Mus musculus: one gene and its partner. The protein of the gene in region 2 interacts with the protein of the main gene of each other region in a biochemical or structural test. Links are inferred from orthologs where the notes say so. Each region holds a gene or a part of one and is shown on either strand. Other genes may lie near its edges. The genes, in order: Akap8l and Dhx9.

Region 1 (4,478 bases), on a different chromosome or scaffold from region 2:
GTCCTTTTGGTCTGAAGCATTTAGATAAGGGACACTCATTGCTCAGTGGTCACTATGAAGCCAGACACAGTACACCTTTAATCCTATTCTCTGGGAAGGCAGAAGCAGGAGGATTGTGAGTTTTAGGAAGGCCTTGTCTAACATATGTATCTTGTACATCTTTTCACTTAGTGCTGAAATGATTAAAACACTAAGCCCTTGACTCAAAAATCAATGACAGCATTTCCAATAAAAATAAGTTACAACCGAAGCATATCAAACACCAATCATGTGGGTACAGATTCCCATACTGCTGCTGCTCAGTGAAGGTTACAGCCTACATGCCAGCACTCACGAGGCTGAGGCACAAGTTCTGCCATGGGTTCAAGGTGCTGAAACAGGGTGAGACACCCCTGAAACACACACACACACAAAACCACAGCAACCATAGTCAATATTGCACACTGAATAAATGCTTCCCTGCTGGGTGCTTTAGCTGCAGGTCTCAGTTCATCCTCATTAAGACCCTGTTCCCTGTCCAAAATTCTTTGAAAAGTCAGTACTTTTTAAGTCCAAAAAAAAAAAAAAAAAAAAAACAAAACAAAACAAAACACTACAAATCGAGGACTCTCAGAACTGGGAAGGAGGCTGGATACCTCCAGGCTTCCAACCATAGCAGTTCATAAGCAGAGTAAGTGCCCTCTGCAAACGTGAACAATTTTACACCGAGGCCACAGGGACCCGGGAGAATGAATACCGTTTATGTATGTGGTGCAAAATCAATACGGTTTCTGCTTTGAGGTCCTTGAGTTGAGTTAATCTCAAGGCCTTGGCAAGCTAGGCCAACACTACATCACTAAGCTGTCCCTAGTGTATTCAGTTACAGGGTACCACCTTGACCCCAGGTGAAGAGACCATACTTCTTCAGGGTAGAATTGCAAATACATCCAGCTACAAGGACTCCAAAAAAGAAAGCTGTGGACTCAACTTCAGCTTTACTTTCCAAGGAGAGGAACTGAGCCCAGGTCTTGGGGAAAGAGAAAACACAAATATAGAGACCGAGTCTTTGCCATCCTTCCTAAAGAGATTGTGTCCAATTAGATTTTTCCCACCCCTGGGGGTCCAGGGCCTTCTCAAGATGCTTAAATTTTAAGTACTAATGATTTAATAGCTGTCTATAAAAACCACTGGGGTGGGGAGTGCAACTGGAGAGATGGTTCAGTGGTCAAGAGTACTGCTCTTCCAGTGGGCCAGGACCCCAATCCCAGAAGCCATGGGGGTGGCTCATAATCATCTTTACCCTTAGTTTTATAGAGTTACAGGCGCTCACATGGCAGTGCACAGACACACACATTCAGGAAAAACACTCATATGAACAAAATTAAATAAACAAATTTATTAAAAAAAAAAAACACTGAAGGGTTGGAAATATGCTGCTCAATTGTGAGGACGAGAGTCAGATCCTAGAACCCATGTCAGGCGGCTCACTCACAACCCTCCGTTAACTCCAGTTTCAAGGGACCCATGTTCTCTTCTGGTCCCAAGGGGCACCTTCATACATGGCTGACACACTCACACAAACACATACATGTAGATGCAGACAGATACATGTAAATAAAGTAAAGTATGTTGTGGTGGAAGCCATACTATGCGCTTCAGGCTGCAGAGTTGCAGCCCTACCCTTTATCCACTAGATGTCAGTAGCACTGCATACCAGTCCCCCACCTCCACCCCCCCCCTGCCCATACACACATTATATAGATAAGACAAAACAGGACTCCAGATATTGCCAAATGTACCCCTGGGAGGTGTGAGGCAGGCAAAATCACCCTGGTTGAGAACCACTGGCCTAGAGGATGGTTGTTAAAAATCCCAAGGTTCTTGGCAAGCATTTGACCCAGGGGCTTAGGAGGACTGGCATAAAGCTCAGGTTCCATTGAAAGCCTTAAACATTCCAAACAGAATGTGGGTTATCCAGCAACCACTTAAGTTCAAGCCTGAAATACCTCCAGTAAAGTGGGAGGCACTGTCTGTGGCACTGACTGATAAGTTTCATTGGCAAACCCAGGGAGCCTTGGCAACTAACTCACTCAAGAATGATTCTACAGTCACTCAAGCATATTCCACACCCCTCACCATGCTCCTCACCCACCTTCCTCTTTGCTCAAATATCACTGATCTAAGTAGGTAGGCGGTTCCAGCCCAGTATGTTTTACAGCGACAGCTATCTTTACTCTTTCCTATTTTGCTTACATCTCTTCTTAAACGTCACCCTTCCCAGAGGCTTCAAAGCTCTCCGTGTAATGGCTGAATCTCTTCAGGATACCCAAGACCCAAAATAATATATTTATTGTATTTTGTCTGTCCTCGCCTATAAGATGCTTAAGAAATTCTTGTCAGCATTCAGTGTCTATTCAGCACCTGATTCGGTAAGTTGAGTGGAAAGTAGTCATTCGTCACCAGGGTTCAAGCTTGCTCTCTAAAGCTCCCTGCAACGGTTCAGAGCCTTCATATAGATTTACAGATTCTCACCGCCCCCTGGGGGAGTGAGGTAGGGGAGGTTGGCTCTCCCCCCCTCCCGCTTTATACCAGATGAAGTGGGGGGAGTGCCATGAGTAAGGGTCTGCGACGTTTTGCACAGAAACTGCTCAAGGGAGGCAATGGCGACAGCAGCCGCCCCAACGGACTGATCTCAGAAGCTCAGGCCTGAGAAGCGACGTCTTAGACGTGGGTGTCCGTGGGGCACTAGCCAGGGAATGACGAACGGAGGTGCGGGAAGCCTGAACCTAACGTTGAGGCCCAAGACCTACGGTCACAGAAGACACAAGCAAATCCTTGAGTAGCCAGGAGAGTCCAAGATGCCCGGCTGAGGTCAGTGAGAGCCGAAGCTTGAGGGATGCGACCCCGAAGGGAAGAGCCTAAGACGCCATTTTGTGACCACAGAGGGCAATGACCACGACACTACAAGAGGAGATCCTAGCATGACTCAGCCCGTCCTGACGCCCCGGCCCAGAGCGCTGCCTTCACCCTGTTGGGCCTACCTGTGTAGCTCATGGCCGCAGAGAACACCCGAGCCGTGGACACAGACCGCTACTCTGCGCGTCTGACGCCACAACAATCCCTGGGGTCCTTCCACACACGCTCCAGCCCCGCCTCCTTATCTCATTGGCTTCTGCAAACCTCGGACTTCACGCCTATTGGTTTCGCTACCTGTCTATTTTTACACCTCTTCGTGACAGTGGTTGGAGATACTGCCAACCCCCGACGACCCCGCCTTACTCTCCGCCTCCTGTTAACAAAAACCTGCGCCAATAGGCCAAGGGGAGAAGATGGAAAGGTTCGAAGGGGCGGAGCTGCATGCAACCTAGAGGTCCGAGCCCACGCGTGTGCTCGCCTGGTGTGTGCGAGCGAGACACTTGCCAGCGTGAGCAGAGACGACCGTCTTGCGCCCCGCCACTGAAATGAAGTCAAGAATGGTAAAGCCATGTTGAAAGGAGAAAATTAGTATCTAACTGCTAAACAAGGTCCTGACAAACGTTATGTGAGATAACGTTAAAACAAACGAAGAAGGCCATGTGTAGTAGCTGACTTCTGTAACCCCAGAATACCGGAGCCTGAGACAGAATGACTCGAGTTTGAGGTCAGATTATACTATATGAATTCTAAGCCACTCTGGGTTCCAGTGAGTCCCCGTTTCAAGGAGGGGTAAAGAATTAGGGCCAGTTTCACAAAGTAAATAGTAAATATTATTTTCTTATTAATCGTTACATAACAATTAATAGTGTTTGTAAGGATATAGCTTGGTGGAAAAACATTTTATCCTAGCATGTACAGAAGGCCTTATGTGAGCTCTCCAACTGCAAAATAAAGATGCTTTTGAAAATTTTATGTGTATTAGTGTTTTGCTTGCGCGTGTCTGTGTGAGGGTGTCAGATCACCTGAACTGGAGTTTCAGACAGCCCTGAGCTGCCATGAAGGTACTGGGAATTGAACCTGGGTCCTCTGGGAAAACAGCTAGTGCTCTTAACTGCTGAGCCATCTCTCCTGCCTCTCAAAAACCACTTTAAAAATAACTGTTTATGTGTATGCTATTTGTTATACAAGTAGTATATCTCAATGTATCATATATTATTGCAAATGCTTGACATAAGAACCTATGTTCAATGCTCAGCTCCACAAAACGAAAAATGTAACCCAGTACCAGCCTTGTTCTAAGCACTATGCCTGGCTCCTCCTGGCTGTGTGGAAAGTCACCATGGGAGGTATCCTTGGAAGAACCCTAAAAATAAAACAATGGATAAACTACAGCAAGCTCTGCTTCTATGATTCATGTACCTTCTTATGGTTTTGAGAAATGTTAAAGTAGGTGTTCTATTGGTATTAAGGAATGTTTATCAATTCTTTTTAGGCTTATGTATTTGTTTTGCTTGAATATATGTCTATGCAACTACATGCACCCCCAGTGCCTGAGGTGGTCAGAAGAGGGTACTGGATACCCT
Region 2 (3,816 bases):
TCTAAGCCTGATACACAGCCATATAAAAGGCAACTCATAAAATTCTTTAACCCACTTGGTGGCCCATAAGTATTGCAGGTAAAACAGCTATAAATTTAAATCTTTTAAACAGAACAAACCCTAAAACAGTGGCTGCTTGAATGGGATCACCTAATAAACATGTTTATTGATTTCTCTATACAAATGACAAGGTGAGGTGACCAAGCATGACTGTGTTATCCTCCATTAAGTACATATATTCAAGTCCCTTACCTTCTGCTTTGAGAGCCAGATGAGGAGGAAGTGGTCCTCCCATTGGTGCTGGTAACCCTTCTGCAGCACTTGCTGTGCTATCAGAGGTGTCGCTAAGTATGGGTGGGGGTGGTACAATCTACAAGAGGAAAAGTCAAGTGTCAGTACTTGGGGTTTTTGTTTGTTTTGCAGAAACTAGAAGACTCAAGACTACTCAAAGATACCCATATATTAAACATCCTTCCCCATAGTATTTTTCCCATTTCTGCCTTTGTTTGAAGACAAAGTTTCAAGTAACTTAGGAATGAACCGGGCGGTGGTGGCGCACGCCTTTAATCCCAGCACTCGGGAGGCGGAGGCAGGCGGATTTCTGAGTTAGAGGCCAGTCTGGTCTACAAATCCAAGTTCCAGGACAGCCAGGGCCACACAGAGAAACCGTCTTGAAAAAACAAAAACCAAACCAAACCAAAAAAACCAAAAAACCAAAACCACTACAGGAAGCAGAGGCAGGCTCGTCTACATGTGTTCCAGGATAGTTAGAGCTATGGCCTATAAAGTGAGATCTTGTCTCAAAGATAAATAAGCAAGAGTTATCTTGTACAGAAGTATAAAGTATTTAATGTTATAGTGAATAAATGCCTGTTCCTTTGAAAAATCCATTTTTAAACAGCATGATCGATAGTATCAGGATTGCCCAAATTTCTGGGTCTAAGTCCTGAGAATACATGAGTTAACCATTAATAAAGGCAATTTATAATTTCATTTAGAGCCATGTGTTGAAATCTCTAAATGTTATTACAGTTAATTATACATGTTTCTTTCCCTTTTACTGTACACTGTCCAAGTCAATTGAGAGCTTAAACGACAATAGTAATAGGTAATGTCCCGGACTGGTTAGATGGCTCAGCGGGTAAGAGCACCCGACTGCTCTTCCAAATCCCAGCAACCACATGGTGGCTCACAACCATCTGTAACAAGATCTTACGCCCTCTTCTGGAGTGTCTGAAGACAACTGCAGTGTACTTACATATAATAAATAAATAAATCTTAAAAAAAAAAAGGTAATGTCCCAACACTTCTGGTTAATTTGCTATTTTTAAGGTAAGATGTCATACAATAGCCTAATTGGCCTGAATTTGCCATATTGCTAAGACCACAGGCCTGCACCATCAAGCCCAGATTATCCCCCCCTCCCAACATTATTAGAATTTAGAACACACATCTTTAACCCCAATGAAACACATAATTTGAAAATTTTTATTTTTTGAGTCAAAAATTAATTTCTTGTACTTCTGAGCATCATGGCTTAGTAATACAATATACTTTAAATGCTGTCTGTTCATACTCTTTGGGGGCATGTCTGAATGGCTGTGTTTTTAGTGCTTATTGGTAGCCTTAGGAAAGGACAAATTTCACAAGGTATGGTTTCTTTCTGCACATTTCAGGTAGAAAAAAATCTCAACTGTGTCTCTAAAACTCAATGCATTTTTGTATAGCCACTATATCCTTTCATATAATGCCCCTGCACACAGTGTATTTGTAGACACATCCTGTAAATCTGTTAACTTGAACCCAAGGGTAGAAAGGGGAAAGCAAACAAAAATATCAAGTTCTTGGTCATAAATACTTACCCCAACAGCTGGAACTTCTTCACTCTTTACTTCATTTATTCGAACCAAATAGTTAACAAAGTCTCTGGCAGCATTGCTCTGTGCATCCTTTTTATTGGTGGAATTGCCCATACCAGCATAATTAAACCCTTCTACTCGAACCTTTAAGATTCAAGGGGGGAAAAAAAGTTGAATTAAAGCTGGGTAATTCTAGGATTTAAAAAAATAAATGGCCAATTAAAGGCAAAATACAACTGTTTTAGACACACTACATAAGTAAATATTCCTTTAACATACCCAAGCAACACATGGATTATTTAACTAAAACCGTGGAGCTGAATTGTTCATTGACATACTGGTTCAACAGTATCAATTTAAGCGGCTCAGGTTTCCACACTTAAATTTTTTCAGATTGGGTATCTAACTAAGCTCTGTGGACAGTACTTGCCTATCAAATGGCTGGCCTTAAACCACCACCACTGAACTCTGTGGGGTTTAGGGGGAAACAAGACAGCAAGTGGACTAAGCAAGAGCACTTTGCCTCCAAATTGATGAACTGGAATTGAATCCCCTAGACTGGTAGAGCAAGAGAAACTAAGTCCCACAAACTGTCCTGATTTTCACATGCTTCTGTGCACACCCAACCATGCAATTTAATAATAACTTTATAATAACTAAGGGAAAACACTACCTTTCTTTTAAATACTTTGCTTCTCTAAACAGAGAACCCAGGGGTGGTGGTGCATGCCTTAACTAAGACTCTAACCACACCCACCCCCCAAATGTAAAATTGCAAACATTTTATCTTCTGACTTACTAGCACCAAGGAAGTTTTTTAAGCATTAGAATAATTTCCCTAGCCAAGTATTGCAAGATAATGTTTCTTTGAAAATAATAAAACCAGCCAAGTCAAAATAAATTCTTCTACAACCTGCAACAGTTCAGCCTTTCCAAATAAAACATTCCTTTAAACCAGACGAACTTCACAAGTATATAAATTAACTGTATTCTTTATGTACCTCACACATGAATTTCTGTCTGTTTTTGTTTCCTACTGCTCTAATTTCATAGGCTGGAGTCATCTTCCTTTTGCCACACCAGGCATACAGAAAATTTTTAATGTCACCCATGATTCAGGTGTCTTCTTCACACCTAAGAAAACAAGTTAAAAGCATTATGATAGCAAAACCTCATACATTCTATCACACTACTCTTAAACTTACCTATAAAGAAATTTTAATATAATTGAAGTCTATGGCATGTAGTAAAAAAGATACAAGCTGTAAAATTTGAATTATACACATATCCTACAATGGTTATTGTTGTAGACTGATTTTTAATTTCAAATATTTTATGCTGTATCCTACATTCTACAATGAATATCTTACTTGCTTTAAAGTTATCCCTCCCAGCAATGAGAACCATGTCACATTCTATTACTTTTTTAAGATTTATTTTATGTATATGAGTACATTAGAGCTGTAGTGATGGTTGTGAGCCATCATGTGGCTCCTGGGAATTTGAATTCAAGACTTTCTGCACACTCTGGTCAAAAGATTTATCTACTATATCTAAGTACAATGTACTTGTCTTCAGATGCACCAGAAGAGGGTGTCAGGTCTCATTACGGGTGGTTGTGAGCCACCCTGTGGTTGCTGGGATTTGAACTCAGGACCTTCAGAAGAGCAGTTGGCACTCTTAACCACTGAGCCATCTCTCCAGCCCCTATTACTTTCTTTTCCAGAGAAATTTTAAGTGAAAATGAAATAGAAAAAAGATAAGATGGCTCAGTGGTTAGGATCACTTACTGATCTTGGAGAAGATACAGATTCAGCCACTTGCGACTGGCAAACATCACTGGCTCTAAGGGTTCAGACCTCTCAAGGTACCTGGCATCCAAGTGTACACAAACTCACAGAATACTCATACACACAAAAATAAAAGGCATATTTTTAAAAGAAAATTTAAGCAAAAG

The links.
Region 1: the proteins of Dhx9 (region 2) and Akap8l form a complex in vitro, tested with the Homo sapiens proteins (2 studies listed by BioGRID). The link is inferred for Mus musculus from reciprocal best matches to the Homo sapiens genes DHX9 and AKAP8L.

What each region holds. Positions count from the first base shown.
Region 1 is NC_000083.6:32,347,467-32,351,944, forward strand, and holds the start of Akap8l (A-kinase anchor protein 8-like), read right to left. Parts: upstream 3,112-4,478; 5' UTR 3,034-3,111; coding exon 3,021-3,033; intron 1-3,020. UniProt on the Homo sapiens protein: Could play a role in constitutive transport element (CTE)-mediated gene expression by association with DHX9. Increases CTE-dependent nuclear unspliced mRNA export.
Region 2 is NC_000067.6:153,480,880-153,484,695, forward strand, and holds part of Dhx9 (ATP-dependent RNA helicase A), read right to left. Parts: intron 2,994-3,816; 5' UTR 2,972-2,993; coding exon 2,861-2,971; intron 2,004-2,860; coding exon 1,863-2,003; intron 371-1,862; coding exon 253-370; intron 1-252. UniProt on the Homo sapiens protein: Multifunctional ATP-dependent nucleic acid helicase that unwinds DNA and RNA in a 3' to 5' direction and that plays important roles in many processes, such as DNA replication, transcriptional activation, post-transcriptional RNA regulation, mRNA translation and RNA-mediated gene silencing.